Linked DNA regions of Anolis sagrei. The protein of the gene in region 4 purifies or fractionates together with the protein of the main gene of each other region. This does not show direct contact. Links are inferred from orthologs where the notes say so. Each region holds a gene or a part of one and is shown on either strand. Other genes may lie near its edges. The genes, in order: OGDH, PDHB, PDHA1 and DLD.

Region 1 (7,282 bases), on a different chromosome or scaffold from region 4:
TATGTAAATGTTTTTCAGCTCAAAAGAGAGTCCCTTTTGTTTGTGAGTCGTTGACTGAGATGGGAAACCAATTGGAGAGCCGTTAATTCTCTAGCCTAGTTGTGTCTCAGATGGAAAAAGTCAAATAACTTTTGTGGCATGGTTTTCAGTAATAAATTTGTTACCTTCTGCTATATTTATTTATTTACTTACTTTATTTATATACCGCTTTTCTCAGCCCTCAGGCAACTCAAAGCGGTGAAATATAGGGCACTGATTAAATGTACACACTATCTGACATGGGAAGGGTCCCTGTTGTTGTTGTTAGTGTCTTTGTAAATTGACCAAGACTTGACCCCTATTGTCTTTGTCCTTAGCAAAACTATAAGTTACTATCTCTTATGGGGGTCAGCTCCAGCTTCTCATGAAGGAAAATGAGAGAAGCCTCCCACTGAGTGGTAAAGTATCCAGGCGTCTCCTGGGCAATGTCCTTGCAGAAGGCCAATTCTCTCAAACCAGAAGCAATTTGCAGTTTCTCAAGTCGCTCCTGACATGAAAAAAAATCTCACTAACTCTATCTGACATGGAAAAAAAACCCCATAAAAGTGCTGATTCCCTTTACTGATTCAGGTAAATGAAGCCTGCAGAAGGGAATGTTGCCAGAACATAATAAGCATATTTTAGAGGACAGCTGTCGTTTACCTTGGAATTTTCTGTATGTCCTTGGAAGTAGTTGCAGTTTTTCAAATTTCTGGATTCACCTAAGACTTGCAAATATCCAGAAAAATCAAAAAGCTGATAGCTGTGGCTTGAGGAAGAAAAATAAAACTGCCAAGTTATGTGGGCATTTACTACTGAAAACCATGGAGTTTACAAACAAGCCTTTGTATTCTGCTCAAAAGATTCCCTGGAGCAAGCATTTAATCCTCAAATCATGAGGCAGGGTTAGGTAATCTTAATCTAGTAGTGTCTTTCAAACATTTGCAAACTTCCATTTTTTAAAAACAAACAAACAAACCAACTTTTCTCAAAATCCCAGGTATCATCATCTGTTTGGAAAGTCCAAAGTCTGCAATTGTTTTATAACGTTTAGAGAAGCTCAAGCGAGAATTAGCAACATGGAGTGTCTATTTAATCTTTTTTCATGTCAGGAGCAACTTGAGAAGTTGCAAGTTGCTTCTGGTGTGATAGAATTGGCTGTCTGCAAGGACGTTGCCCAGGAGACACTCGGATGTTTTACCATTATGTGGGAGGCTTCTCTCATGTCCCTGCATGGGAAGCTGGAGTTGACAGTTGGGAGCTCGCCCCGCTACCCTGATGTGAACCCCGACCTTTTGGTCAGCAGTCCGGCCCAAGAATGTATGCATGCATTCCAGTATTGACTCTGGACAAGTAGAAGGTTGAGATGAAAACACAGAGCCAAAGAATTGCAGTAGTTACCTGGCATATTAGCATTTCGAGATTTTGCTAGTAGCATGTTGCCCATCAGGAAAAGGAACTTCTGGCTAATATCCCAAATCCTGAACAACCGGGGTATTCTTACGCTGGTGGTTTGGAGTACATAATCCTCTGGGGGGAAAATAGGTATATAGTACATGCATTTCGTGACCACATCTATATAAATAAAAATGTAATGTTCGTTTGTGGGATTAGCATAACTCAAAAAACCATTGGACGAATTGACACCAAATTTGGACAGCATACACTTAACAACTCAATGTATGTTTTTCACTCAAAAAAATGATTTTGTCATTTGAGAGTTGTAGTTGCAGGGATTTATAATTAACCTACAATCAAAGAGCATTCTTAACATCACCAATGCTGGAATTGAACCAAACGTGGCACACAGGACTCCCATGACATGGGTACTGATAGGCATTGACCTTGAGTTTGGGAGTTGTAGTTCAGCTACATCTAGAGAGCACTGTGGAGTCAAACAATGATGGATCTGGACCAAACTTGGCACGAATATTCCATATGCTCAAATATGAACACAGATGGAGTTGGGGGGGGGGGGGGGGAATAGACCTTGACATTTGGGAGTTGTAATTACTGGGATTTATAGTTTACCTAAAATCAAAGAGCATTCTGAACCCCACGAATGATAGAATTGGGGCAAACTTCCCACACAGAAACCCCTATGACCAATAGAAAATACTTAAGGCCATCCAGTCCAACTCCCTTCACCAAGGTCATTAGACTGGGCCACAGCAACACATGGCAGGGGACAGCTAGTATGTGTATATAGAAGCAAAGAAACACATTCTAAGCAAGCCTCAAAAGTCTGGAAGGCAGCACCTTTGAACAAACCTTAACTCACTACGAGATTTGACTTTGCACTTGTTTTTAATACAGACATAGGAAACCCATTTCCCCCACCCCCAAAAAACCCTGGTTATTGCCCTCATCTCCTCACTCTACCCTCTCATGAAACAAGTAAAACCAATATATAATGTATATATAATTTTGTCTTGTGTGTACAATTTTGCATGGAGGGCCATTGGGTTGAGAAGGATCAAGCCACACTTCAGTGGGTATTAGACTTAAATTCCCTATACAGTCTTTTAGCTTTTGAATTATTTCATTAGTGTTAGATGCGCTCGCTAGATGGTGCTCTCTTTGCAAGGGCTAATTATATAATGCCTTACTCTAATGATATGTGACACTAAATATTTAAAGACATTGGCACACTTTGGGGATGTCTCCAAGTCTTAAAAAAGACAGATTTTTCTTGCAGATGTTACAAATACCTAGAAAACTGGCCAGCTATGGCAGTGGTTCTCAATCTTCCTAATGCCACAACCCCTTAATACCTCATGTTGTGGTGACCCCCAATCATAACATTGTTTTTATTGCTACTCTTTGGCTTAGAAATGTAAGCGCTGCCTCCGGAAAATCCTGCAAATCTCTTGGGAAGAGAAGTGGACAAACGTCAGCGTGCTGGAAGAAGTAAAGACCACTAGCACTGAAGCGATGGTCCTCCGCCATCAACTCCGCTGTACCGGCCACGTTGTCCGGATGCCCGACCACCGTCTCCCAAAGCAGTTGCTCTACTCTGAACTCAAGAATGGAAAACAGAATGTTGGTGGACAGGAAAAGAGATTGAAAGATGGACTCAAAGCCAGCCTTAAAAACTCTGGCATAGACACTGAGAACTGGGAAGCCCTGGCCCTTGAGAACTCCAGCTGGAGGTCAGCTGTTACCAGCAGTGCTGGAGAATTTGAAGAGGCACGAATGGAGGGCGAAAGAGAAAAACGTGCCAAGAGGAAGGTGCATCAAGCCAACCCTGACCGGGACTGACTGCCTACCACCTAGAAACCAATGCCCTCACTGCAGGAGAACATGCAGATCAAGAATAGGGCTCCACAGTCACCTATGCATCCACCAATCTTGGAAGACAATCCTACTCAGACATTGAGGGATCGTCTAACAACAGTTTGGCTTAGAAATGTATATAAGCACCAACCCGCAGAGTCAGACACGACTAGACATAAAGTAAGGGGAAAACCTTTATCTTTACCTAGCTGGCCCTGATTGTTTGTTGGTTTGTTTATTGTTGATTGATTGATTGATTGATTGATTGTTTATTAACCGCTTTGAGTCCCCCCAGGGGTGAGAAAGGCGGTATATATATATTGTAAATAAATAAATTCCTCCCTCCTTATATATATATATATGGATTCAATGAAGGAGTGGCTTTGCGGAAAATATAATAAAGGGCTGCCATTTCCCAATCTGGCCACTTGATGGCAGCAAAGGATTGTACATTGGAGTCGCGGAGTCCTGGGTGAAAAGCGCCTCTGCGGTTTCAAGGAAGGAGCAGAACAGCAATTCCTGATGTCTCCACTGGGCGGCGGCAAAAGGACCGGCATTAGGGCCCTGTAGAGCCGTAGAGGAACCTGTTTGGGGATGTTGGGGACTCTTGTCCAACTCCCCTAAGCTTAAGAGACTGAGGGGGGAAAGGAAGTGGTCTGAGGCTGTTAGGAATTGTGGGACTTGAAGTCCAAAACTTTCGAGTTGATTTCTCTAAATCCCCTAACAGCAAAACGTGGAGTTCACTCTATTTTTAAAAAAAGCTCTAGTCTAGGGTTTCTTGGAAAGAGGACCCAAGTTGACCCGTGGCTGCTCTAAATCTAAACGTGGAGTTCACTCTAAATTTTTCAAATCTCTAGTCTAGGGTTTCCTGGAGCTAGAGCCCAACTTGGCCGGTGGCTGCTCTAAATCTAAACGTGGAGTTCACTCTATTGTTTTACAAAAAGGTCTAGTCTAGGGTTTCCTGGCGTGCTTGATGACGTAAGCACGTAGGCGCCCGGAAGCGAGAGAGGCGGAGCCGGCGGTTGGCGCTGTCAAGCCCAGTTCGGAATCCTCCTGAGGGGAAAGGAGGCAGGAAGGAAGGTCGGTCGAGGCGCCGGCGGCAGGTAGCGCGGCCTGAGGCGGTTTGGGGCCAGGCTGAGGCGCGAGGGAAGGGAAGGGCCGCGAAAGGGAAGTCGCCCTCAGGGGGGCCGGACAAGTGTCCTTCGCGGGCGGGTTTGGGCCGCGCCGGGTTCCGTAGGGAGGTGAGAGGCGGGCCTGGCTAGGCCGGAGCCCCCTGCTCGGGCTCTTGTGTGCCCCTGTGGGCCGTGTGGGTCTGGCCTACTAGATCTCCATCCCCTCCGGCTTATTATTGGAGTTCTTTCCAGTAATATTCCATTTCATTTGTTCTTCCCTCTCTCCTCACAGCTCGAGGCGGGGCACAACATATAGTGAAGATAACACCGATTTATGTTTCATATACAAATGAATTTGGGCTCTCTCTCCAGGTGTTTTGGACTTCAACTCCCATCATTCCTAACAGCCACAGGACCATAAGCAGCTGAGGGGGTGGGGGGAAGGAAGGAAGGAGCCTGAAGCTGAGGGGGAAAGGAAAGGGACTGAGACTGTTAGGAATGGTGGATTTTGGCCCACCTGGAGGGAGGGCAAAAGTTGACCCAGGCCTGAGGTAACTGGTAGGTGCTGGATAAATGTAGCTGAGAATTACCGTTAAAAATAGGACTAACCCAGTGTTTTTCAACCTTATAATAACTTTATTTTTATACCCCGCCTCCCATCTCCCTGAAGGGACTTTGGGGCGGCTTACAGGGGACAAGCCCAGGATTACAATAAAACAGACACAATAAAAACAATCAATAACAACAAATAAAAAACATTAAAATTAATTAACATAAAAACAATACCTTTCCTAATTCTGCAACCCCTTCCTCATGTTATGGTGACCTTCAACCATAAAATGATATTTAATGCTACTTTCATAACTAGAACTGTACTTTCATAACTGTAATGTTGCTACTGTTATGAATCGCAGTGCAAATATCGGATATGCAGGATATATTTTCATTCACTTGGCCAAATTTGACACAAATATCCAATACGCCCAAATTTGAATACTAGTGGGGTAGGAGGTTAATTTGGTCATTTTGTAATTGTTGGGATTTATAGTCCATCTACAATCAAAGAACATTCTGGACTCCATTAACCATGGAATCAAACCAAACTTGGCACACAGAACTGCCATGACTAACAGAAAATACTGGAAGGGCTTGGTGGGCATTGAGCTTGAGTTTGGGAGTTGCAGTTCACCTACATCCAGAGAGCACTGTGGACTCAAGCTATGATGGATCTGGACCAAACTTGGCACAAATGCTCAATATGCCCAAGAATGGACACCAGTGGAGTTTGGGGGAAATAGACCTTGACATTTGGGAGTTGTAGTTGCTGGGATTTACAGTTCACCTACAATCAAAGTACATTCTGAACCCCACCAACAATGGAATTGAGCCAAACTTCCCACACAGAACCCCCATGGCCACAGAAAATACCATGTTTTCTTATTATCGTTGATGACCCCTTTGACACCTCTCGCGGGGGCTGCCAGGGGTCTTGGACCCTAGGTTGAGAAACACTGGACTAAACAATACTATACATTGTGGACTCAAATAAACCCAGTTTAAAGCAGATATTGTGGGATTTTCTGCCTTGATATTCTGGGTTATATGACTGTGTAAGAGCCCTAAGTATAGTTTAACTTTTACTGTTTATGCTCTGGAGTTTCTCAGAGAGGGAAGACAGGTGGACAATAATAATAACAACAACAACAACAACAAAATGACTTCTTACCTACTTCACTTCATGGCTCAAAGTAGGTTACAGAAAAATTAAAACACATAAACATTGCAGGAACGCTACAGATAACATATATTAAAACATATTTCTACAAAAGTTACATATTAAAACGTATTTCTATAAAATGTCTATTAAAATACACAAAATAGAGATTAAACGGATTAAATGGATACAAAACAGATCACAGATTTTAAAAAATGAAACAGTTTTAAAATCTGGGTTGCTGTGAGTTTTCCCGGCTGTATAGACATGTTCCAGAAGCATTCTCTCCCGACATTTCACCCACATCTGTGGCAGGCATCCTCAGAGGTTGTGAGGTCTGTTGGAAACTAGGCAAGTGGGGTTTATATATATGTGGAATGTCCAGAATGGTATCAAGTTTGGTACCAGATATATCTAATTAAAAACCATTCTACTGCTTGGACACCACAGACGCCTTTCCTCATTACTGTATATTGTTTTAATATGTTTGATTTGGAAGATGACGTGAAATGGCGAACTGTTTTAATGTATCTATAATTGTTTTTAATATAGGTTAATTGTATATTGTGCTTCTTTTGTTGTTTGGCACTGAATGATGCCTGTTGGTAGCAGTACTGAGTCCCTCTTCGGAGGCGAGAAGGACAGGACAGAAATGCTCCTAATAATTATATTAAATAAATAAATGTTTAGGTTCTTGTGGGTTTTTTCGGGCTATAGAGCCATGTTCTAGAGGCATTTCTCCTGACGTTTCGCCTGCATCTATGGCAAGCATCCTCAGAGGTAGAGGTCTGTTGGAATTAGGACAATGGGTTTATATATATCTGTGGAATGGCTGGGGTGGGGCAAGGAGCTCTTCCCTGCTGCAGTTAGGTGTGAATGTTCAGCTACCAGTATCTGGCTACCAGTATCTGGCTACCAGTATTAAAAAACTCTAAAATTATAACAGCTAAACAACAGAGAGGAAAAAACCAGGCACAGATTAACACCTCCCAGCAGCAGATTTTCCCAGGCGCAGGCAGGCCTTCAAATGCTAATGAAGGTGATCAGCTGAACATTCACACCTAACTGCAGCAGGGAAGAGCTCCTTGCCCCACCCCAGCCATTCCACAGATATATATATAAACCCATTGTCCTAATTCCAACAGACCTCTACCTCTGAGGA
Region 2 (7,281 bases), on a different chromosome or scaffold from region 4:
AGGGAAGCTGATGAGGAAACACAGACCCACCAAGAAAATCCAACAAATGCTATGTTCAGCAAAGAACAAGAGCGATCCTCTCACTTCTACAGGAGTCTACCGTGTACCATGCAGCTGTGGACAAGTCTACATAGGGACCACCAAACGCGGCATTGCCCAAACACGAATCAAGGAGCATGAAAGGCACTGCAGACTACTTCAACCAGAGAAGTCAGCCATAGCAGAGAACCTGATGAAGCAAACTGGACACAGCATATTATCTGAGAACACAGAAATGGTGGACCACTCTCACAACCACCATGTCAGACTACACAGAGAAGCTATTGAAATCCACAAGCATGTGGACAATTTCAACAGAAATGAGGAAACCATGAAAATGAACAAAATCTGGCTACCAGTATTTAAAAACTCTAAAATTACAACAGCACAACAACAGAGAGGAAACAAACAAGGACATCTAATTACCTCTCAACAAAAGTTTGCTCTAGGCACTGTCAGACCATTATATGCTAATCAAGGTGGTCAGTTGAAACATTCACACCTAGCTCCAACAGACAAGAGTCCTTTGTCTCACCCTGGTCATTCCACAGATATATAAACCCTTTTTTCTAGTTCCAACAGACCTCACTACCTCTGAGGATGCTTGCCATAGATGCAGGCGAAACGTCAGGAGAGAATGCCTCTAGACCATGGCCATATAGCCCGAAAAAACCTACAACAACCCAGTGATTCCGGCCATGAAAGCCTTCGACAATACATTGAAATTAACTTTGGCTTTGTTTCCAGTAAACTTATTTGGTTAACTTTAATCCTGTCTCAAGAGTCTTTATTTTAAAGAACTAAAGTACATCAGAGGGTATGTTCCCTCCCTCACAAATAATCTGCCCCATTCCTATCTCACCCTGAGTTTTTAGTATTTTATCCTGTACAAGTGGCTTGCTTAATGTCACTGGGATTGTGAATGACTTTTATTGTATTTTATATTGTTTACTGTATTCTCATGTTTTATGTATTTTATTATGTTGTTGTTTTATGCCTTTATGATCTTATTTTATTTTATTGTATTGCATTGTTGGGCTTGGCCTCATGTAAGCCGCCCCGAGTCCCCGTTGGGGAGATGGTGGTGGGGTATAAATAAAGATTATTATTATTATTATTATTATTATTATTATTATTATTAGCCATCCCCTGCCACGTGTTGCTGTGGCCCAGTCTGTGTATATGTGCTTTGTGTGTCTATATGTGTGTCTATATATTTGTGTATATACGTGTGTTTGTATATGTGTGTGTTTTTGCGCATAAGTTCAGTCCCCACGAACTCCTCCTCCACAAATGTACCTTTTCATTGCTATCTCATCTAGAGTTTTACCATTTTGTTGTGCTTTTGGCCCACCCACTGTGTTTGATTTTCCATTATGCTATTTTGTACTGCTTATTTACTTAATTGGTTTATTTATTTTAACTGTGATGTTATATTGTTGTTTATATTTTATGTTGCTGTAATGAATCATTGAGCTTGGCGAGTCCCCTTTGGGGAGATGGTAGCAGGGTATAAAGTTTATTATTATTATTAATGTATTTTTTTGTCTTTTTAAGTCTCTTCCAATGTGTTTTTTAGTGTTTTTATGAGTGATGGTCACTCGTTGGCCTGATAAGTGCTTACCTACAAACCCTAAACGGTTTGGGACCACCCTACCTCCGTGACCGCATCTCCGTTTATGAACCCATGTGCTCACTTCGTTCATCCGGTGAGGCCCTGCTCGCGATTCCGCCTGCGTTGCAGGCGCGTTTGGTGCGGACGCGATACAGGGCCTTTTCTGTGGTGGCCCCCCGACTCTGGAAGACCCTCCCAAAAGATCTTAGACAGGCCCTTACATTGGCAGTCTTTAGAAAGAACTTGAAGACCTGGCTGTTCCGATGTGCCTTTCCAGAATAGGAATCTCCAATAACAAGTCCCAGAAGCACTTTATTAGAACTAAGATTGCCGCACACTGCACTTGCCCTATAAGCCTTACATATCACCTGTCACATCGGCACTTTTAATCCTGTACCCATTACTCTGGGCCGGCCCAGTTTTATAGTGTCTTGATGTATTGTTTATTGCTTGTTGTTTAATATTGCTTGAACTGTTTTTAATTTGCTTTAGGTGTTGTATTGTTATGTTGTGTTTTGAGGCCTTGGCCTTTGTAAGCCGCATCGAGTCCTTCGGGAGATGCTAGCGGGGTACAAATAAAGTTAATAATAATAATAATAATAATAATAATAAAATTATAATTGTTTCCAAATTTGGTGTCAATTCATCCAGTGGTTTTTGAGTTATCCCACAAACGAACATTACATTTTTATTTATATAGATTCATAGATTCCGATAACCACTGGGGAATAGACGGACATATAGTTTTCCTTCAACCCCCGGCATGCCATCACAATATATATTTTGCAGAGATACATTTTGGTATGTAACTTTTATGGAGGTACGTTTTAGTGTGTGTAACTTGTAGTGTTTTTGCTGTGCTTGTGTATTTGAATTGTTTTGTAACCCGCCTCGAGTCATGAAGAGAGGCTGGCAAGAAATAAAATAATAATAATAATAATAATAATAATTGACCTGTATAGAGTGACATTTTATCTCAATAGGAAGGGAACTCAACACCAGGCATGGGCAAACTTGGGCCCTCCGGGTGTTTTGGACTCCAACTCCCACCATTCCTAGTTGAAGTCCAAAACACCCGGAGGGCCCAAGTTTGCCCATGCCTAGCGTAGATGCACCCTCTGGCCGACCTCTAACTCCAAGCAACTCCTTTTCCACGCCCCGTTTCCCTTTCGGACTCTCTCTCCCTCGGGGGCGCCCCTACCTGAACGGCGGCCGGCACAGAGCGGTGAAACCCCCGCCGTGGGAGCCCCGAGAGCCGTCCTGCTCCCACTCGCAAAAGGCCTTTCAACGGCAACGCCGCTGCCGCCATCTTCAATTTGCCCTCAACCCCGCCGGCGCCCCGGCGTAACGCGTCACCGGGCACGCCCGTCACCGTTGCCAAGCAACCAGGAGGTAGCACGAGAGCGAAAGGGAGAAGGCGGGACTATCCTACAACTCTCGCGAGATTCAATCGACGAGAGTTCATCTCTATCCTTGCCTGACTATTTATAGCCCTGCCTGATGATGAGAACAGCATTTCCTATTTGCTGTAGAAGGCTACGGGAAGCTGAATGGGACAAGAAGGCTCAATGCGCGCTCTAAAATTAAAACAGCAAAACAGCAGAGGGAAAACAATCAGGGACATCTAATCACCCCTCAACACAAGATTGCTCCAGGCACTGCCAGGCAATCAAATGCTAATCAAGGTGGTCAATTGCAACATTCACACCTAGCTCCAGCAGACAAGAGTTCTTTGTCCCAACCTGGTCATTCCACAGATATATAAACCCTTTTCCCCAGTTCCAACAGACCTCACTACCTCTGAGGATGCTTGCCATAGATGAAGGCGAAATGTCAGGAGAAAATGCCTCTAGAACATGGCCATATAGCCCAAAAAAACCTACAACAACCCACTAATAGCAAAACATGCTGGTATATTATATATTGTGGTATACTCATATAATACCATATAATATATACTATTTGATTTACATGTATTATTAATAATAATATTGGAGTATAGTGCTGTGGTACAATATAGTAATATATAATTATATAATATGTTATACTTACATATAATATTAATAATATAATGTAATACAATTTAATATTACTAAATTACATCTTGTTACATCCCGAATAGACTACTGCAACGCGCTCTACGTGGGGTTGCCCTTGAAGACTGTTCAGAAACTTCAACTAGTCCAGCGAGCGGCAGCCAGATTGCTCACCGGAGCGACATACAGGGAGCATACCACTCCCCTGCTGTGCCAGCTCCACTGGCTGCCGATTCAGTTCCGAGCACAATTCAAGGTGCTGGTTTTGACCTACAAAACCCTGTACGGTTCCGGTCCAGTGTATCTGTCCGAACGTATCTCCCTCTACGTCCCACCCCGGAGTCTGAGATCATCTGGGGAGGCCCTGCTCTCGACCCCACCACTGTCACAAGTGAGGCTGGTGGGGACGAGGAGCAGGGCTTTCTCAGTGGTGGCCCCTCACCTGTGGAACTCACTCCCGGGGGAAATCAGGGCATCACCATCCCTCCTCGCCTTCAGGAGGAGGGTGAAGACGTGGTTATGGGACCAGGCCTTTGGGCACGCTGGCAATTAAATCAGATAATCAGGCAAGTAAGGACCAACAGGACTGATGAAGTGGAACGTAAAACTAGATCTATGAGTTAGCGAACGCTGACCATGTAAGAGGAGAAATTGGGTTTGTATTGGTTTTTATTGATTTTATTGATTTTATGGTTATAATGCATGAATTGTTATTAACTGTGAATTGATGTAATTTTGTGTATGATTGTTTTATGATGCAGGCATCAAATTGTGCCTTTGCCTTTGTAAGCCGCCCTGAGTCCCCTTCGGGGTGAGAAGGGCGGGGTAAAAGAACCCCAAATAAATAAATAAATAATAAAATATAATAATACAATAGAATCAAAGAGTTGGTAGAGACCTCATGGGCCATCCAGTCCAACCCCATTCTGCCAAGAAGCAGGAAAATTGCATTCAAAGCACCCCCGACAGATGGCCATCCAGCCTCTGCTTAAAAGCCTCCAGAGAAGGAGCCTCCACCACACTCCAGGGCAGCGAGTTCAACTGCTGAACAGCTCTCACAGTCAGGAAGTTCTTCCTAATGTTCAGGTGGAATTTTCTTTCTTGCAGTTTGAAGCCATTGTTCCATGTCCTAGACTCCAAGGCAGCAGAAAACAAGCTTGCTCCGTCCTCCCTGTGACTTCCTCTCACATATTTATTCATGGCCCTCATCATGTCTCCTCCCAGCCTTCTCTTCTTCAGGCTAAATATGCACAGCTCTTTAAACTGCTCCTCATAGGTCTTGTTCTCCAGACCCTTGAACATTTTAGTCGCTCTCTTCTGAACACATTCCAGCCTGTTAATATCTCTCTTCAATTGTAGTGCCCAAATAATAATATTGCAATATAGTAATACTAATATATTAAATGGAGCCTCGGTGGTGTAGCAGGTTAAAGCTGCGGAACTTGCTGAATGAAAGGTTGGCAGTTTGAATACAGGGAGCAGGGTGAGCTCCCATTGTTAGGCCCAGCTTCTACCAACCTAGCAGTTTGAAAACATGCAAATGTGAATAGATCAATACATACCACTCCGTCAGGAAGATAAAAGCTCTCCATGCAGTCATGCTGGCCGCATGATCTTGGAGGTGTCTACAGACAACGCCGGCTCTTCGGCTTAGAAATGGAGATGAGCACCACCTCCCAAAGTCAGACTCAACTAGACTTAATGTCAAGGGGAAACTTTTACCTTTAATATATTAAATATAATTACTACTGATAATATATAATGATATACTGTTTTATTTTTGTATATTTTTATATTTTAAATTGTAATGTTTTTGATCGTGAAACGTTTTGAGTCTCCATATGGAGAGATAAAGCATGATATAAATAAATAAAATATACTGTATTAAGCTAAAATAAATATTCAGCTATATTCAAAATAATAAGAAGTGGAAAGCCTCAATACTTCCAAGGAAGTTTTATGTCAAGCTGGTGGCAGGGATGACCAAACCTTCTGTTTTAAACTACTTCCACCTTCTTATTTTCCATGAACTCATTAAAAATACTATAAGGAGGAAAATAAAATAGGTAAAAATATTTATGTTTTGAAAGTATTGCCATGAATGCTGTTCGAACATTGGGAGACATCATAATAAGAGGCTATATATGAGTCCAGAATTTTTCTTGAACAACCCTGACTAACCTGCTGACGAAGGCCTGCCTACACTGGCATACAATGAAGTTTAGCAGTATTTAATTAATTATATGGCAGTGTAGATTCACACAATGCTGTTGAATTGCATTTTATGGCAGTACAGGTTGGGCCACTGTCATTAAGAATATTTTAAAAATTAGGACTATCCAGGAAAAGACATCAAATGTGTTTTTTCATTTAAATATTTGTAGATAATTTATCATGCAGACAGTGATACATCCAAAGTGTTCACAAACTGCATAAATTAATATATTATTGTGAAGAGAACTTATTGCTTATCTCCAGCCATGTACGCGGTTTGCACTGGGGTTATCTTTCGAGTGGAAAATCTTCCATCTCAATTCCAAACAAGCCCTCTCCAGCAATTACATGCTGTAAAGGTTTCAAAAGAGACACATTTAGAATTGCCAATTACTTGGGTCAGAAAGGTTAATTTATGCATAATTTGTCATATCTGCTCAGAAAGACTCATTCAGCCGAGGAAAGACAAAATGGTATGTTTGCTCATGCTTTGCAGAGCTTAACCCACCCCATTCTTGGGTGCATCTACGTATTAGAACTTTTTTTATGTGTCAGGAGTGACTTGAGAAACTGCAAGTTGCTTCTGGTGTGAGATAATTGACCGTCTGCAAGGATGTTGCCCAGGGGAAGCCCTGATGTTTTTTGATGTTTTACCATCTTTGTGGGAGGCTTTTCTCATGTCTCTGCATGGGGAGCTGGAGCTGACAGAGGGAGCTCAACCCACTCTCCCCAGATTTGAACCGCTGACCTGTCTGTCATCAGTCCTGACAACTTAAGGGTATAAATTATCCCACCTGACGACAATGCTTCAAGTGTATATTATTGGTGATCCCAAAAGAAACATTGTATAATCGCAATAAGAACCAACAGAGTGGTAGCAGAGTATCTAAGAAATATAAATTCATGGACACTTACCCTCCACTGATATATTGAAAAAAGACATAGAATTCAATTTAGGAGAGAAATGTAAAGTGTTGGTCACAGAAATGTACAATTATATAGTCTCATGGGCTAAAATAGCACAATCCGAATTTTTGTTCTTGCCAGAGTAGGGAAGTTTGGAAACGTGTGACATCCCGTTGAAAGATGAATGATTTCATGTTTCTCTTCTAAATTTAGAATCTAGGATAGGAAAAAAGAAGATGAAATGGCATTTTTGGACTATAATTTAGAAGAATGCGCACAAATAGCTGATGATTACATTGTTCTAAGCAAGCTCATTAGCAAAGCTAATAATCAATTGCAATCTGCATATATATGAGCACAAGCAATAATGAAAGAGCAAATTTCAGTGACCTTACTGAAGAGGTTATGATTATTAGCTAAATATAAATGTACATCTTAACACATAGTCATTTTCTTTTTCTAAATGAGGGA
Region 3 (7,792 bases), on a different chromosome or scaffold from region 4:
CTCGAAGCCACGCAACAATGAGAGTGACTGGTCCTGCGAAACTCTCTTATAGTGCAGAGGCAACAGGGATATGGGGAGGGGAGAGGCTGACTACCCATGAAAGATTATTATTACCACATCAGCTCTAGATGAGCTCTAGATGAGCTACCGGGCTCAATTCAAGGTGCTGGCATTGGCCTATAAAGCCTTAAACGGTTCCGGCCCAAGATACCTTTCCGACCGCATCTCTGCCTATGAACCCACCAGGACTTCGAGATCTTCTGGGGAGGCCCTGCTCTCGATCCCGCTGGCTTCTCAAGCACGGTTGGTGGGGACGAGAAATAGGGCCTTCTCGGTGGTGGCCCCTCGGCTGTGGAACGCCCTTCCCATGGACATTAGATCGGCCCCATCTCTCATGGTATTCCCTAAAAACTGAAGACCTGGCTGTGTGTGCAGGCATTCGAATAACTAGTACAATGATTGGTAATGAACATAGGAATGAACAATGGATGACGAATCTGGATTATGTTTTTGACGATAAGACGATTGGGTTTGGTTATGGTAGTAATTGTGTACTGAGCGGGTAATGTGTTAAGTTGTTAATTGTTGTTATATGTTGCATTGAATTATTGCTGTTTTTACTGACTGTGAACCGCTGTGAGTCGCCTTCGGGCTGAGAACAGCGGTATAGAAGCAAAGTAAATAATAAATAAATAAATAAATTATTAAATATGGTTTTCTGTGGGCAAGCAAATGGTGACTACTGGATGACATATGTTTTGCATCAGAAGCTAGAGCTGATGTGGTCTGCCCAATGCAATTTTCTGAATTAGTACCCCAAATAACCAAACCAAATCTACACTTGACCCAAACCCGATTTGTAACCCATTTGGTACTACTGTTGGAGAGTGGTCAAAAAAAGGTTGTGAACCACTGCATTGAAATAAGACAGACACAAGTAGGGCAGCAGTGTTGCAACTATATCAAAACAGAAACTGGGCAAAAAGACATACCTGAAAAGAGACAGCTTCCTCTCCACAAATATGGAAAGGAGTGGGAAGACACCTGTGCTCTCTTTATATTGGTCACCTGTGTGTATGCCTCCGTCTGTCAACTTATGGCAACCCCATTAATTTCATAGGGTTTTCTGAGACAAGAAATACTATTCCTGTAGTGTGGAATGTTTGCCTTTATTTTACCCTTAAACATGTGATGCCATATGGCAGCCTGATTATCCAGAAAGCCACTTCCATGTCCTTTGGCACAAACTGGAGACTCAGACACAAAGCAATATTAATGTGTTGCAAGAAGCATAGTACAAAGTAGGCATATCTGTATTGTGTTAGTATAATGTTTTATTTTGTACTGCTCTTTGTAAGAGCTTAGGGTCTTATTGTGCTTTAGAAAGGAGAATATTCTTAATACATCTGTGGTTATGAAGTTATGGCCAAAACTATTCTTAATAATCTCAATGTATTGTTGAAGGAATATTGTTTCTTCCATTCCCATTCTGTAATTTCTGTGTGCTTTTAGTCACCTGTTGATTTACAATAAGTCTATAAATATTTAGTATGTCTTAAGCAGTAAATGCCCAGTAGAGTTTTTCTGCCAGCCATAAGTCAACCTAATGGCAGGGTTGCTGAGAGTTTTCCAGGTTGTATGGCCATTTTCCAGAAGCATTATCTCCTGACATTTCGCCCACATCTATGGCAGGCATTCTCATTTCCAACAGACTCCTCAAACCCCTGAGGATGCCTGCCATAATGTGGGTGAAACATCAGGAGAGAATGTTCCTTGAACATGATCATACAGCCCGGAAAACTTGCAGCAACCCTGCCACTAGGTTGACTTATGGCTGGCAGAAAAAACTCTACTGGGCATTTACTCACAGCAACCCAGTGATTATGAAAGCTTTGGACAACACAACCTAATGGGAGATAATGACAAAAATCCAGCAGCCACTGGAAGGTAAGCAGGGTTGGCCCTGCTAGTAGCTGGATGGGAAGCCAACACGGTCGTAACTCTATGCAGTAACAATCTATCTGTCTGCAGCATCTGCCTTTTTTCTGTACAGCTTTCTAAATAACCAAGCATTGTTGGTTTTTCCAGGGGACTGTGTGTTCTTATGGGCACCAGTTGCCCTGACACGACAAATAAATAAATAAATGGGCGCCAGTTTGAGCGCTGGACTACAGGTGCATCTTCACTGTAGAACCAATCCAGTTGGGCCCCATTCCTAACTGCCCTGGCGTCTTGGGGGTGGTCGTTTTGCATGGCCTTGAGCCTTGCCTTTCAAAAAGCGCAAGCCAAAACTCCCGTGGCTCCACAGCGCTGACAGTGTAAGCAGAAACCTCAAGGGCACTCTGAGGAGCCAAGGAAAGACACCGGGTGACCTCGGGCAAGCCGCACTCTCTCAGCCTCAGAGACAGGCAAGGGCAAACCCCTTTCTGCCAAGGAGGAGGAGGAGGGGAAGGTGGAGGAGAGGGTTCGCTCGCCATAGGTCAGAAACGACTGAAGGCCCAAGCCTGCCTCAGAGGAGGGCAGAGAGCTCTTGAGGGAGAGAACTCTTCTACAGGGCGCGGCCTCCTCCCTCCTCACCTCCCCGCGTCGCCCCTCCCCCCGTTGTTGTGCGCGCGACCCCAGCTGTCAGCCACGCGCCCCCTCGGGAGTGCCCGTTTCCCCCTCGCCTCGCGCCCCTGGCACGTGGCCTTGGGAAGCAGGCAGGCAGTCAGTCAGTCAGTCAGTCAGTCAGTCACGGGGAGCCCTCTGCCCTCCGCCTCCCCCCGCTCACTCACCGGTTTGTGGGCAGCCGAGCCCTTGGGCAGCAGCAGCAGGCGGGAAAGGGCGGCCAGCATCTTGCGCATGGAGGGCAGGGCGCTCACCGCCACATACACACGCCGCGGCCTGCTCTACCCTCGGCTGCTCCCAGCCCCGCCGCGCACCGGAGGAAGGAAGGAAGGCAAGGCCGCCGAGTCTCCTTCAACCTCTTCTTCCCTCCCTCCTCCCCTCCTCCTCCTCCTCCTCCTCCTCCTCCTCCGCGGAAACCCGGCCGACGAGGAGCTCCGCTCAGAAGGACAGCGGAGGAAGTGTCGGCAGCGGCGCTCTTCCGCTCGCTCTCTCTCGCTCTACTGCCCCCTGGCGGAGCCCGCCGACAATGACTGACTCCTCTGGAGACGAGATAGCTCTCTCTCTTTCTCTCCTTCCCTCCCTCCCTCCACTGATCTGTCTGTCTATCCATCCACCCACCCATTCATCTATCTATCCACCCACCGATTTATCTGTCTATCTACCTATCTATTTATCTATCTATCCATCCATTCACCCACACATCCATCCATCTACCCACCCACCGATCTATCTATCCACCACCCACCCATCCATCTACCCACCCACTATCTGTCTGTCTGTCTACCTAACCCACCACCTATACATCCATCTATACATCCATCCATCCATCTACCCACCCTCTCTCTCTCTAATGTATCCATCCATCCATCTACCTACCAACTATCTGTCTGTCTACCTAACCCATCATCTATACATCCATCCATCTATCCATCCATTCATCTACCCACCCCTCTCTCTATCTAATCTATCTATCCATCCATCCATCCATCTACCTACCCACTATCTGTCTGTCTGTCTACCTAACCCACCATCTATACATCTATCTCTATCTATTATTATTATTATTATTATTATTATTATTAACTTTATTTGTACCCCGCTAGCATCTCCCGAAGGACTCGATGCGGCTTACACAGGCCGAAGCCTCAAAACACAATACAATAGAAAACATAGCACAACAATAACAAAGCAAATCAAAACAATAAGCAAAATAACGACAATGGCAGTACATCAAGACATTATTAAAACTGGTTCGGCCGGCGCAATGGGGTACAAGGGTTAAAAGTGCTGAAATGGCAGGAGGCACGTAGGATTAGAAGTGCGGTGTGCAGCGACGATTAGTTATGCTAAGGTGCTACTAGGACTTGGGGTGGGGATTCCTAGTCTGAGAAGGCACAACGGAATAGCCAAGTTTTTAAATTCCTTCTGAAAACAGCTAGAGTAGGGGCCTGTCGGAGATCTTTTGGAAGGGCGTTCCAAAGTCGGGGGGCCGCCACAGAGAAAGCCCTGTCCTGTGTCCCCACCAAGCGCGCTTGCGACGTAGGTGGGATCACGAGTAGGGTCTCCCCAGATGATCGAAGCGAGCGTGTGGGTTCGTAGATGGAGATGCGGTCACGCAGGTAGGGTGGTCCCAAACCGTTTAGGGCTTTGTAGGTGAGCACCTACACCTTGAATTGGGCTCGGAAAATAAATGGCAGCCAGTGGAGCTCCTTAAACAGAGGGGTAGACCTCTCTTGATAAGGAGCCCCAGTTAGGATCCTAGCTGCCCGCTGGACCAATTGAAGTTTCCGAGCCATCTTCAGGGGCAGCCCCATGTAGAGCGCATTGCAGTAGTCCATTCTAGAGGTGACCAAGGCGTGGACCACGCCGGCCAGATCAGCCTTCACGAGGTATGGTCGCAGTTGGCGCACAAGTCTCAGTTGCGCAAAGGCCCTCCCGGATACCGCCGACACCTGAGCCTCAAGTGTGAGCGAAGAATCCAGGAGGACACCCAAACTGCGGACCTGTGGCTTTAGGGGGAGTGTAACCCCGTCCAACACAGGTAACCATCCTATACCCCGATCCGGTTTACGATCGACCAGGAGGACCTCTGTCTTGTCGGGATTGATCTTCAGCTTGTTCTTCCTCATCCAGATCAACACAGCGGCCAGGCACTCGTCTAGCACCCGAGAAGCCTCCTTGGAGTTAGGTGGAAAGGAGTAGTAGAGTTGTGTGTCATCCGCATAAAGATGGCACCCAACTCCAAAACCCTGGATGACCTCTCCCAGCGGTTTCACATAGATGTTGAAAAGCATGGGCGACAAAATGGAGCCTTGCGGGACCCCACAGGTCAAAGGCCAGGGGTCAGAGCAGGCGTCTCCCAGCTTCACCATCTGGGTCCGTCCCTCCAGGAAGGACCGGAGCCACGACAGAACCGCGCCCCCGAGGCCCATCCCAGAGAGACGACCCAGAAGGATACCATGATCGATGGTATCGAAAGCCGCTGAGATGTCCAAGAGAACCAGCAGAGTCACACTCCCCCTGTCCAGTTCTCTGCGGAGGTCATCCACCAAGGCGACCAAGGCTGTCTCGGTACCATGACCAGGCCTGAAGCCAGACTGTGACCGATCTAGGTAGTTGGTATCGTCTAAGAAGCTCTGGAGCTGCGAGGCGACCACCCGCTCCAGCACCTTACCCAGAAAAGGGAGGTTGGAGATTGGCCTGTAGTTACTCAGCACCGTGGAGTCAAGGGAAGCTTTTTTGAGGAGTGGCTGAACCACAGCCTGCTTCAGATTAGATGGAAAAATCCCTTGCTCCAACGATGCATTGATAATCAATACAAACCAATCAAGCAACCCCTCCCTGGCTGATTTGATGAGCCAAGATGGGCATGGGTCTAGAGATGAGGTGGTCGCCCTCACAGCCCCAAGAATCTCCTCTACGGTTTCAGGAAGAACAGGCCTAAAAGAATCCCACAAAGTCAGACAAGCAGATGCCTCCGTCACCTCTTCTGGCACTGCGATGGAATTGGAGTCGAGCTCAAGGCGTATCTGGGCGACTTTACCTGCAAAATGGTGTGCGAAATCGCGACACCTAGCTGCTGGGTCATCAGTGACCTCCTCCACCACAGGAGGATGGAGGAGTTCCCCCACGACCCGAAACAGCTCCGATGATCTATTTGCAGCAGACGCTATACGGGAGGTCGTGAACGATTTCCTGGCCCCCCATATAGCCACGGAGTATGCCTTAAGAGAGGCTTTAGCCCGTGCTCGATCAGAGACGGCTCGAGATTTCCTCCATTTGCGCTCTAGCCCCCTTCTCGTATGCTTCATCACAGCCAGCTCCTCGGTGAACCAAGGAGATGGCCTGTCACGACGCAACGAGATGGGACGTTCGGGTGCGATCATATCTAATGCCCTGGACATCTCCCCATTATAGAGAGTTACCAAGGCGTCGATAGAATCGCCAAGCTCCAGGGCAGGAGGAACCCCAAGATTCCTCAGGAATCCATCCGGATCCATCAGTCTCCTAGGGCGGACCATTTTAATTTGTCCTCCACCCCTGCGGAGGTTAAGAGTCGCAGCAAGTCTAAAAGTGATCAGATAATGGTCAGACCATGACACAGGAAGGATGTTTTGATCTTCCACTCTGATCAATTCGTTGTCCATCACAAAGACAAGGTCAAGAGTATGTCCAGCTTGGTGAGTGGGGCCAGATATTATCTGTGACAGTCCTATGGTCGTCATGGTGGCCATAAAGTCCTGAGCTGCGCCAGATAAGGTGGTCTCAGCGTGAATGTTAAAATCTCCCAGCACCACCAGGCGTTGGGAGACCAAGGCCGAATTAGAGACCACCTCCGCTAGCTCAGACAGGGAAGCTGCTGGGTCGCGGGGTGGGCGGTACACCAGCAGGAACCCCACACTGTCACGGCTCCCCACTTTCAAGTGGACACACTCAAACCCGGAAGCCTGCGGGACAGCGCATCTGATCACGGCGATGGATTGCCGAAAGACTACTGCGACCCCTCCTCCCCGCCCCCCTTGTCTGGCCTGCTGATGCACTCCAAAACCTGGTGGGCATAACTGAGAGAGATTTACACCCCCCAGCTCGTCCAGCCAGGTCTCGGTGATGCATGCCAGATCCGCCCTCTCATCCAGGATCAAGTCTTGAATGGCCGCGGTCTTACCATTAACGGATCTGGCATTAATCAGCAGGACCTTAAGACCAAGGGGGCTGCCAAGGAGCCTACCACTACCCACCTTTTCCAGGGTCGCAAGGACTCTGTTGCGCTTCTCCCTGGGATGTTTGTGACCCACAAGTCTCCTCCCCCACACGTCTTGGATGCCCCCCCTTCCTCTGGAACTCCCCCCCCCCTACATGGCCGTGATCTAGTCAGCTCTCAGAGGAGGAAGTTGGGCTGGGGAATAGTCTCCCTTGGGCGTTAGGTGGGGGTGATTCTAATGTTGAGGTAGATAATGAGACATCAAGGGAGCTGAGTGGGCTGAATAAAGGGAGTCTATCTACCTATCCATCCATCTACCCACCCTCTCTATCTAATCTATCCATCCATCTACCCACCCACCCACCCTCTCTCTCTATTTAATCTGTCTATCCATCCATCTACCCACCCACTATCTCTCTCTCTCTCTCTCTATCTATCCACCCACCTACCAATCTATCTTTCTATCCATCCATCTATCCAGACACCCTTCTATCTACCCACCCACCCACCCACCCCAACTATCTATCTATCTATCTATCTATCATTCTATCTATCATCTATCTATCTATCTATCTATCTATCTATCTATCTATCTATCTATCATTTTATCTATATACCCACCTATGTTATTTATTTATTTAATTGTATTATCACTTAATTTTGTTTAACTTTGATAATTTTTGATTTTGTTATAGTTGTGAATTTTCTTTTGGGATCTGGGAGGGTGGTTATTTATTTCTCTTTGTCAGGGTATTCTCGCATTAAATGTCATTCATTTGGCACTCTCTTTGGTTCCAATATCAATCAAATCGTCATCCAGGAGGGTTATTTGAGGAGGCTGAATGGTGTTGGGGCTAAGGGGATGTTATTGCCTTTCTACGCATCTGTTAAAAGGTCAACTCTTTATTATTGTAACTAAGCCCATTTCTATGCACGGGGACCCCAGTTCTTACTATTGTCAACAGCCCTTCAAAACTGTGATGG
Region 4 (7,941 bases):
AGCCCAGTCAAACTGCATTTCCCTGGAATTTGCTGAAAGAAGGGTCCAAAAGTAAAGTGGTTGATTTTTTCCACAATTTAGACATCTTGCAGACAGAACAAAACTTTCTGTTACTTTTATAGTTTTCTCACAATTTTCAACACAGGTGATGTTCAACACTGGTACAGAACCATGGAGTACATGAACTGTTTGGAGTGTGTGCGCTGATCTATTCTGCTTCTGAATTCTTAAGATAAAATAGTATTTTGTGTTTTCTTGAAGTGTGTTGGGCTCCACTATTTGAACGGGATCAATGGAAGGTGTCCAGGTTAAATCAACCTGTGCTGGGTGGCATTTTTCATTGGGACTCAGCCTCATTGTTGAATAATCTAATTCCCGTTTTGTGCAGTACCAGTTAAATGTCATTCCTTCCAGGGGATTGTGTGAATCAGGATCAGATGAGGAAGATCCATCCAGAGCCCAACGATCAGAAACACCAACCATCCGGAAGGGTCCTCCAATTATGTTTGCTACTAAATCACTTTCGAGAATTTGGAGTAATATTGAATCTGACTCAGTGATGTTTATATTATATGCAGGTAGAAAAACTGTCATGGTCACATTAACATGATGAAAGCCATAATACAAAACATTCCCGGGTATGTAAAATATTACGCTATCTGTAGTTATTTCATCAGGTAGCTTGAGAGGATGTGTCCAGTCAGGAATAGACAAAGCACTTTTAAGGCTGTAGATTTTCCAGAGTATATGTATAACTGAACTTGTCCTGCAGTCTGCTTTTGCAATTGATTCCAAGCGAACTGCTGACACTCTCCTGTATTTTATGACTGACTCAAACAGATTTGGTTTATGGATGGTAGCAATCAGGTTATAACAGTAACTTTTTTGACAGGCCACATTTAACTCCCTGATTTTTGAAGAGTAAGTGTTGACCGTGGCTTTGAGAACAGCATGTACAAGCCCACTTTTTCTGCAGTTCACTTTTGCTACAAACCCTGCATACAGGGAAGGTTTGAAGAATGAAACAGAGTGAGAAAGAAGGCGAGTGGCATTTTTCACATGATTTCCATAAGTGTACGTGTAATTCCAAAGGAGGTGCTCCTTCCTAGAATCAAAAAGTTGCAAATCAAAGATCCATTCACACTGCAGCTGCGGATGTTGTGTAGGAATAAACCATAAAACATAGGCCAAACTCTCATCAGTAGAATGTCCATTGAAAATCTGAACTTCGGTATCCTTTTCTCCTAAAGCCTTGAACAAAGTCTCCCTTCGGTTCAGGTATAAGTGCATGCTGAACCGGTACCACTGAGGTTGTATAAATTCAATGATGAGTAGGTAAGAGAGGCTCTGCTGCTGATAAAAAATATAGTGAAAGCTAGAGTTCCCACCACTGGCACTGGTATTCTTTCTTGCTTGGGTAGAATAGTATAGTCCCAAAGCATGACTGAAAATGTAAGTGCCTGCTTTTGTTCGTTGTGGGTTGAGCACGAGGTAAGTTGGGTTTGCATTGTTTGCTCTGAAAATCACAGTCTGATTAGAAAATCTGATTTCCCCCTTGAGCTGTCCAGATATTTTCTCGCTAATACGAAAATAGATGCTGGCCATCACTTTGCCCCCAGAATTCCATGATTTGGGAGCTGCACAGAAATCACTTTGTAGAGCAAAAGGATTATAATTGTAGTGAGGAGACCATTGGTCCAGTCCCTGCACATCTATCAACGAGTAAGCCATTATTCTGGGACTAAGGGGTTGGAGAGTCCAGGAAAGGTTGACAGTCCTGTGAGTAAGACTGAGCAATGTGGAGGAAGCGCTAAATACATGGAGCAGAGCAGGCTGCACATACACGTTGAGACTGCGTCTGAGGTGAGGCCCATTCTCAATATGGAGTGAAGCAGTGTAGACTCCACGGTGTGGATAACGCACTGTTACATGGTAGTTATAATATGATGCACATCCTTGGTGCAATTTTGCATAGGGATAAAGAGTGGGTGTGAGTGACTCATTGTGCTGGTTGCTGGGAATGAGATGGTCTACAGGACTACCCCCGGGACTCTCGAAGCGGTAGTTCCAGGTGACACTTTTCAGGCGTGCACACCAGCCTAGCTGCACTGGTTGCCATTCCCGGATGGGAAGTGTCTGTGGTGAGAGGAGGAAAAGATGGACATCTTGCTTAGAAACTTCAATGGTCAAGTTGTTGTAAGCACAAGTGGGTAAATAGCACCAGGCTGATACGCATTGCACTGTGATATGACTAAAGTCCTGGGGTGGATGAGGGCCTCCTTCATCTTGGCCCATATCTATTACCACCTGACCTGACCAGTGATTTGTATTCTCTAGCAAGTTGGAATCCCGGTACCACCTACAATGGGGAGGGACTTGCACGCCTGGCTTCCCAACCTTGATATCTAAAGACAGTCCTCTGTTTCTTGAATACTTCAGCTCAATTTTCCCAGCCCAGATACATGAGATATGATGTTCAGTGTCATGCCTCTGATAGACTCGTTGTTGTGGATCTGTGCAGATGACCAACAGTGGAGGTGGCAAGAAATGAATGGGCGCAGCTGTTGTATAACAAAAAGAGTACCTCAGGAAGAAGATAAGGAGCACAGGGCAATGCATCTCTAGTGCAATGGTTCAGAAGCAACAGCTGTTTAGCAGTATCACCAACAGATCTATGGTTTTAATTCTAGAATCTTTCTGCTGTTGCCCCAAGCAACTGGCCCTTCCGTAGAAGTCAATTTCTTTATATTTCTTGATATTATTAGCTGTCTAGTCCTTTCTCTTCATGACCTATCAGCACAATTTAATTCATTAACTTCTCCATATTTACCCATTTTTTCCGTATACTGTATTTCCAATAATCTTTGGATTTGAAATGCATCATAATAAACTTCCAAACTTGGGAAGTTAATAAATAATATTAAAGGGAATGGAAGAGGAGAGAGGAAACAGAACTTAAGGAACCCTTTAAAGGAACAGTAAAAGTGTGGGGAAAAAAGAAAGAAGAAGTTAAATCCAGGCAATGAGAATAAGATGGCAACTATATGGCAAATGAATTATAATAATGATGAAATTATAGGCAGAACATTGAGACTGATTGAAAGTAGAGGGAAAAGGTTAGTAGAGGATCTATATACAGAGGATGGAAACCCCGTAGAACAAAAAGAAATTCAGAATTATTATTATTATTATCCGAACGTATCTCCGCCTATGAACCCACCAGGACTTTAAGATCTTTTGGGGAGGCCCTGTTCTCGATCCCGCCTGCATCACAGGCACGTTTGGCGGGGACAAGGGACAGGGCCTTCTCAGTGATGGCCCCCCGGCTGTGGAACGCCCTACTCATGGACATTAGAACAGCCCCCTCGTTAATGGTGTTTCGAAGAAGACTGAAGACCTGGCTGTTTGAACAGGCGTTTGGATAAACAGTGCTATGAATATAATGAATATAGGAAAACGGAATTACGGATGACGAGTTGGATCACGATTCTAGTTACGAGATGTTAATGTGTTGTCTATTGATGTGTAATTACTCAGTATATTACGCTGTTGATTGTTTTTAAATAGTGTATGTTGTTAGTATTGAATTCTTGCTCTTGTTGTTAACCGCATTGAGTCGCCTACGGGCTGAGAAACTGCGGTATACAAATAAAGTAAATAAATAAATAATAATAATTATTATTCAGTTCTTGTGGGTTTTTTCGGGCTATAGAGCCATGTTCTAGAGGCATTTCTCCTGACGTTTCGCCTGCATCTATGGCAAGCATCCTCAGAGGTGAGGTCTGCTGGAGCTGGGGAAAAAGGGGTTTATATATCTGTGGAATGACCAGGGTGAGACAAAGGGCTTTTGTAAGTTGGGCTAGGTGTGAATCTTCCAATTGACCACCTTGATTAGCATACAATGGGCTGACTGTGCCTGGAGCAAACTCTTCTTGAAGGGTGATTAGGTGTCCCTGCCAGTTTTTCTCTCTGCTGTTTTTGCTGTTGCAATTTTAGAATTTTTTAATACTGGTAGCCAGATTTTGTTCATTTTCATGGTTTCTTCCTTTCTGTTGAAATTGTCCACATGTTTGTGGATTTCCATGGCTTCTCTGTGTAGCCTGACATGGTGGTTGTGAGAGTGGTCCAGCATTTTTGTGTTCTCAAATAAAATGCTGTGTCCAGGTTGGTTCATCAGGTGCTCTGCTATGGCTGATTTCTCTGGTTGGAGTAGTCTGCAGTGCCTTTCATGTTCCTTGATTCGTGTTTGGGCAATGCTGCGTTTGGTGGTCCCTATGTAGACTTGTCCACAGCTGCATGGTATACGGTAGACTCCTGCAGAGGTGAGAGGATCCCTCTTGTCCTTTGCTGAACGTAACATTTGTTGGATTTTCTTGGTGGGTTTGTAGATTGTTTGTATGTTGTGTTTCCTCATCAGTTTACCTATGTGGTAAGTGGTTCCTTTGATGTATGGCAAGAACACTTTTCCTCTGGGTGGATCTTCATCGTTACTCTCGTGGCTTGTTCTTGGTCTTGCAGCTCTTCTGATGTCTGAGGTGGAGTATCCATTGGCCTGGAGAGCCCAGTTGAGGTGGTTCAGTTCATCTTGGAGGAGGTGGGATGACCAGGGTGCTCTGAGGATGCTTGCCATAGATGCAGGCGAAACGTCAGGAGAAATGCCTCTAGAACATGGCCCTATAGCCCGAAAAAACCTACAAGAACCTAGTGATTCCAGCCATGAAAGCCTTCGACAATACATTGAACATTGTCTAATGTTTGGCAGTGCAGACCCAGCCTGGGAGAGATGCCTGCTCTGGGGGCCACTCAAGGAAAGAGAGGCGGGGCCCAAAAGTCCCTCCTGAGGAGCCAAGGGGGAGGAGCCAAGATACGTCACGAGCTGCAGTGGCCGGCCTCTTCCGCTAGGTGGCGCGCGCCTCTTCCCGGCGGCCGCTTCCGCTGAGGAGGACCTTGAGGGCCAACCCGGCCTCCTCTCCCGTTGTGCGCCTGCGCGAGTCTTCTCCGTCCTTGGCGTTGCCGCTGCAGCTGTGCCTCAGAGGGAACCGTCAGGGCAGCCGCCATGCAGACGTGGAGCCGAGTCTGTTGCGCTCTCGCCAAGGTAGGGCCAGGAGCCGTGGGAAAGGGGGACGGCGTAGGCCCGAGGCGTAGGCCTGACGGAGTAAATAGAGAGAGAAGAGCGCGCGCGAGAGAGAGTGAGGGAGCCGCATCCCGTCATGCCCCGCGCCGCCCTTGGGCCCTCTCTGGCCCCAGCGCCGCCCTTTCCTGAAGGGGAGCCCTGCCTAGAGCCACAGACTGGAGGGATTCCAGGGAAAGCTCACCCCGTCCCTTCTCCTGAAGGGGAGCGGGCTGGAGGCCGCGGAAGGGTCCCAGGGAGAGGGAACTGCACCTCCTGAGTGACAGGATCAGAGGGAAGGGCACCAAATGGACGACTGACTAGAACAGAGCTTTCCAAACTGTCTTGGCTGCAGTGTGTCACATGAACATCAATTAGAAACTTCTGAGTCTGTGTGGAATATGCAATAAGCCATTGGGAAAGACAAAACAAAACAATGAAAGCTAGGTTGTTGTAGGTTTTTCAGGCTATATGGCTATGTTCTAGAAGCATTCTCTTCTGACGTTTCGCCTGCATCTATGGCTATTATTATTATTATTATTATTATTAACTTTATTTATACCCCTACATTGGCAGTCTTTAGAAAGAACTTGAAGACCTGGCTGTTCCGATGTGCCTTTCCAGAATAGGTCATCCAGAGTTTTGGAGTTAGGTGCCATCTCTATGCAGATGACACACAACTCTACTACTCATTTCCACCTAATTCCAAGGAGGCCCCTCGAGTGCTGGACGAGTGCCTGGCCGCTGTGTCTATCTGGATGAGGAGGAACAAGCTGAAGATCAATCCCGACAAGACAGAGGTCCTTCTGGTCGATCGTAAACCTGACCGGGGTATAGGGTGGCAACCTGTGCTGGACGGGGTTACACTCCCCCTGAAGTCACAGGTCCGCAGTTTGGGAGTCCTCTTGGATTCAACGCTTACGCTTGAGGCTCAGGCGTCGGCGGTGTCTGGGAGGGCTTTCGCACAACTGAGACTCGTGCGCCAACTGCGACCGTACCTCGCGAAGGTGGATCTGGCCGGAGTGGTCCATGCCTTGGTCATCTCCAGACTGGGTTACTGCAATGCGCTCTACGTGGGGCTGCCCTTGAAGACGGCTCGGAAGCTCCAACTGGTCCAACGATCAGCAGCCAGGATGCTAACTGGGGCCCCTTACAGAGAGAGGTCAACCCTCCTGTTCAAGGAGCTCCACTGGCTGCCATTTATTTTCCGAGCCCAATTCAAGGTGCAGGTGCTTACCTACAAAGCCCTGAACAGTTTGGGACCAGCCTACCTGCGTGACCGCATTTCCATCTACGAACCCACGAGTTCTCTTTGGGCATCTGGAGAGGCCCTGCTCGTGATCCCACCGGCGTCGCAAGCGCGCTTGGTGGGGACGCGGGACAGGGCCTTTTCTGTGGTGGCCCCCCGACTCTGGAACACCCTCCCCAAAGACCTTAGACAGGCCCCTACATTGGCTGCCTTCAGAAAGAACTTGAAGACCTGGCTTTTCCGATGCGCCTTCCCAGATTAGGAAATCTCCACTACCAAGTCCCATAAGCACTTTATCAGAACCAATGATTGCCGCACATCGCACTTGCCCTGGAAGCCCTATATACACCTCCTGTCACATCAGCACTTTTAATTTTGTACCCATTGCTCTGGCCCGGGCCAGTTTTATTGCGTTTAGTGTATTGTGCCTGTTGTTTATTTTGCTTTATTCTGTTTTTAATTGTTTGATTTGCTTAGATTGTATTGTTGTGTTGTGTATTGAGGCCTCGGCCTGTGTAAGCCACATCGAATCCTTCGGGAGATGCTAGCGGGGTACAATTAAAGTTTAATAATAATAATAATACAACTACCCAGTGATTCCAGCCATAAAAGCCTTCAACAATACAATGAAAGCTTTTCATGAGAGACCTTTTGTTGTCCCCATACGTTGCGTGTTTTAGAGCGTAGACATATGCCCTACATTTAGGGCAACTTTTATTTATTTTGTGTCAAAAGCATTGCATAAACAAACAAGCTCCTTGGTTTGCCCATTCTTGGTTTGTCCCCAGGGGAAGACTCTCATAGGGGGTCATCCAGTTGAAATTGCCTGATTTTTCTGCCCACAGTGATATTCTTGCTGTTGCTGGGGAAACCTTAAAGAGTAGTGGTAGTTCTCATGAAACTTTTCCTTGATTTAAGTCTACTCAGAGGTAGCTGATAGCAATACAGTGTGCACCTTTCACAATGTTCAGCCTTAATTCTCTCACAATTGGCAGCAACTTCCTGTTGCACATCGGGAATCATAGAGTTGGAAGAGATCACATGGGTCATCTAGTTCAGCCCCCTGCCATGCAAGAAAAGTACAATCAAAGTACCCCTGACAGATTGTCATTCATCCTCTGCTTAAAAGTATGCAAACACGGAGCTTCCACCAAACTTTTAGCGTATGAGCTGTTGAGCAGCTTATATGTTCAGGAAGTTCTTCCTAATGTTCAGGTGGAATCTCCTTTCCTATCATTTGAACCCATTGCTCCGCGTCGTGGGGCTCTTCCAGACAGGCCCTATATCCTAGGATCTGATCCCAGGTTTTCTGTTTATCTCAGATTATCTGGCAGTGCAGACTCATATAATCCAGAGAACCTGGGATCAGATCCTGGGATATAGGGCCTGTCTGGAAGGGCTGCTAGATCATGAGAAGCAGAAAACAAGCCTTCTCCCTCTTCCTTATGACAGGATTTCACATATTTAAACATTGCTATCATGTCTCCTCAACCTTCTCTTCTGCAGGTTAAACATACCCAGCTCTTTGAAATGCTTCTCATAAGCATGGTCTACAGACTTTGATCAGTTTAGTTGCCCTTCT

Evidence for each region.
Region 1: the proteins of DLD (region 4) and OGDH purify together in Homo sapiens (affinity purification with mass spectrometry; 3 studies listed by BioGRID and IntAct, counting the BioPlex papers as one, with this or other methods). This does not show direct contact. The link is inferred for Anolis sagrei from reciprocal best matches to the Homo sapiens genes DLD and OGDH.
Region 2: the proteins of DLD (region 4) and PDHB purify together in Homo sapiens (affinity purification with mass spectrometry; 3 studies listed by BioGRID and IntAct, counting the BioPlex papers as one, with this or other methods). This does not show direct contact. The link is inferred for Anolis sagrei from reciprocal best matches to the Homo sapiens genes DLD and PDHB.
Region 3: the proteins of DLD (region 4) and PDHA1 purify together in Homo sapiens (affinity purification with mass spectrometry; 4 studies listed by BioGRID and IntAct, counting the BioPlex papers as one, with this or other methods). This does not show direct contact. The link is inferred for Anolis sagrei from reciprocal best matches to the Homo sapiens genes DLD and PDHA1.

What each region holds. Positions count from the first base shown.
Region 1 is NC_090027.1:15,081,154-15,088,435, forward strand, and holds the start of OGDH (2-oxoglutarate dehydrogenase complex component E1), read left to right. Parts: upstream 1-4,269; 5' UTR 4,270-4,374; exon of another isoform or gene 4,375-4,397; intron 4,398-7,282. UniProt on the Homo sapiens protein: 2-oxoglutarate dehydrogenase (E1o) component of the 2-oxoglutarate dehydrogenase complex (OGDHC). Participates in the first step, rate limiting for the overall conversion of 2-oxoglutarate to succinyl-CoA and CO(2) catalyzed by the whole OGDHC.
Region 2 is NC_090022.1:29,004,141-29,011,421, forward strand, and holds the start of PDHB (pyruvate dehydrogenase E1 component subunit beta, mitochondrial), read right to left. Parts: upstream 3,019-7,281; 5' UTR 2,964-3,018; coding exon 2,856-2,963; intron 1-2,855. UniProt on the Homo sapiens protein: The pyruvate dehydrogenase complex catalyzes the overall conversion of pyruvate to acetyl-CoA and CO(2), and thereby links the glycolytic pathway to the tricarboxylic cycle.
Region 3 is NC_090023.1:88,918,037-88,925,828, forward strand, and holds the start of PDHA1 (pyruvate dehydrogenase E1 component subunit alpha, somatic form, mitochondrial), read right to left. Parts: upstream 3,014-7,792; 5' UTR 2,844-3,013; coding exon 2,775-2,843; intron 1-2,774. UniProt on the Homo sapiens protein: The pyruvate dehydrogenase complex catalyzes the overall conversion of pyruvate to acetyl-CoA and CO(2), and thereby links the glycolytic pathway to the tricarboxylic cycle.
Region 4 is NC_090025.1:82,693,848-82,701,788, reverse strand, and holds the start of DLD (dihydrolipoyl dehydrogenase, mitochondrial), read left to right. Parts: upstream 1-4,938; 5' UTR 4,939-5,056; coding exon 5,057-5,095; intron 5,096-7,941. Other genes in the region: polycystin family receptor for egg jelly-like, read right to left, coding at 1-2,619. UniProt on the Homo sapiens protein: Lipoamide dehydrogenase is a component of the glycine cleavage system as well as an E3 component of three alpha-ketoacid dehydrogenase complexes (pyruvate-, alpha-ketoglutarate-, and branched-chain amino acid-dehydrogenase complex).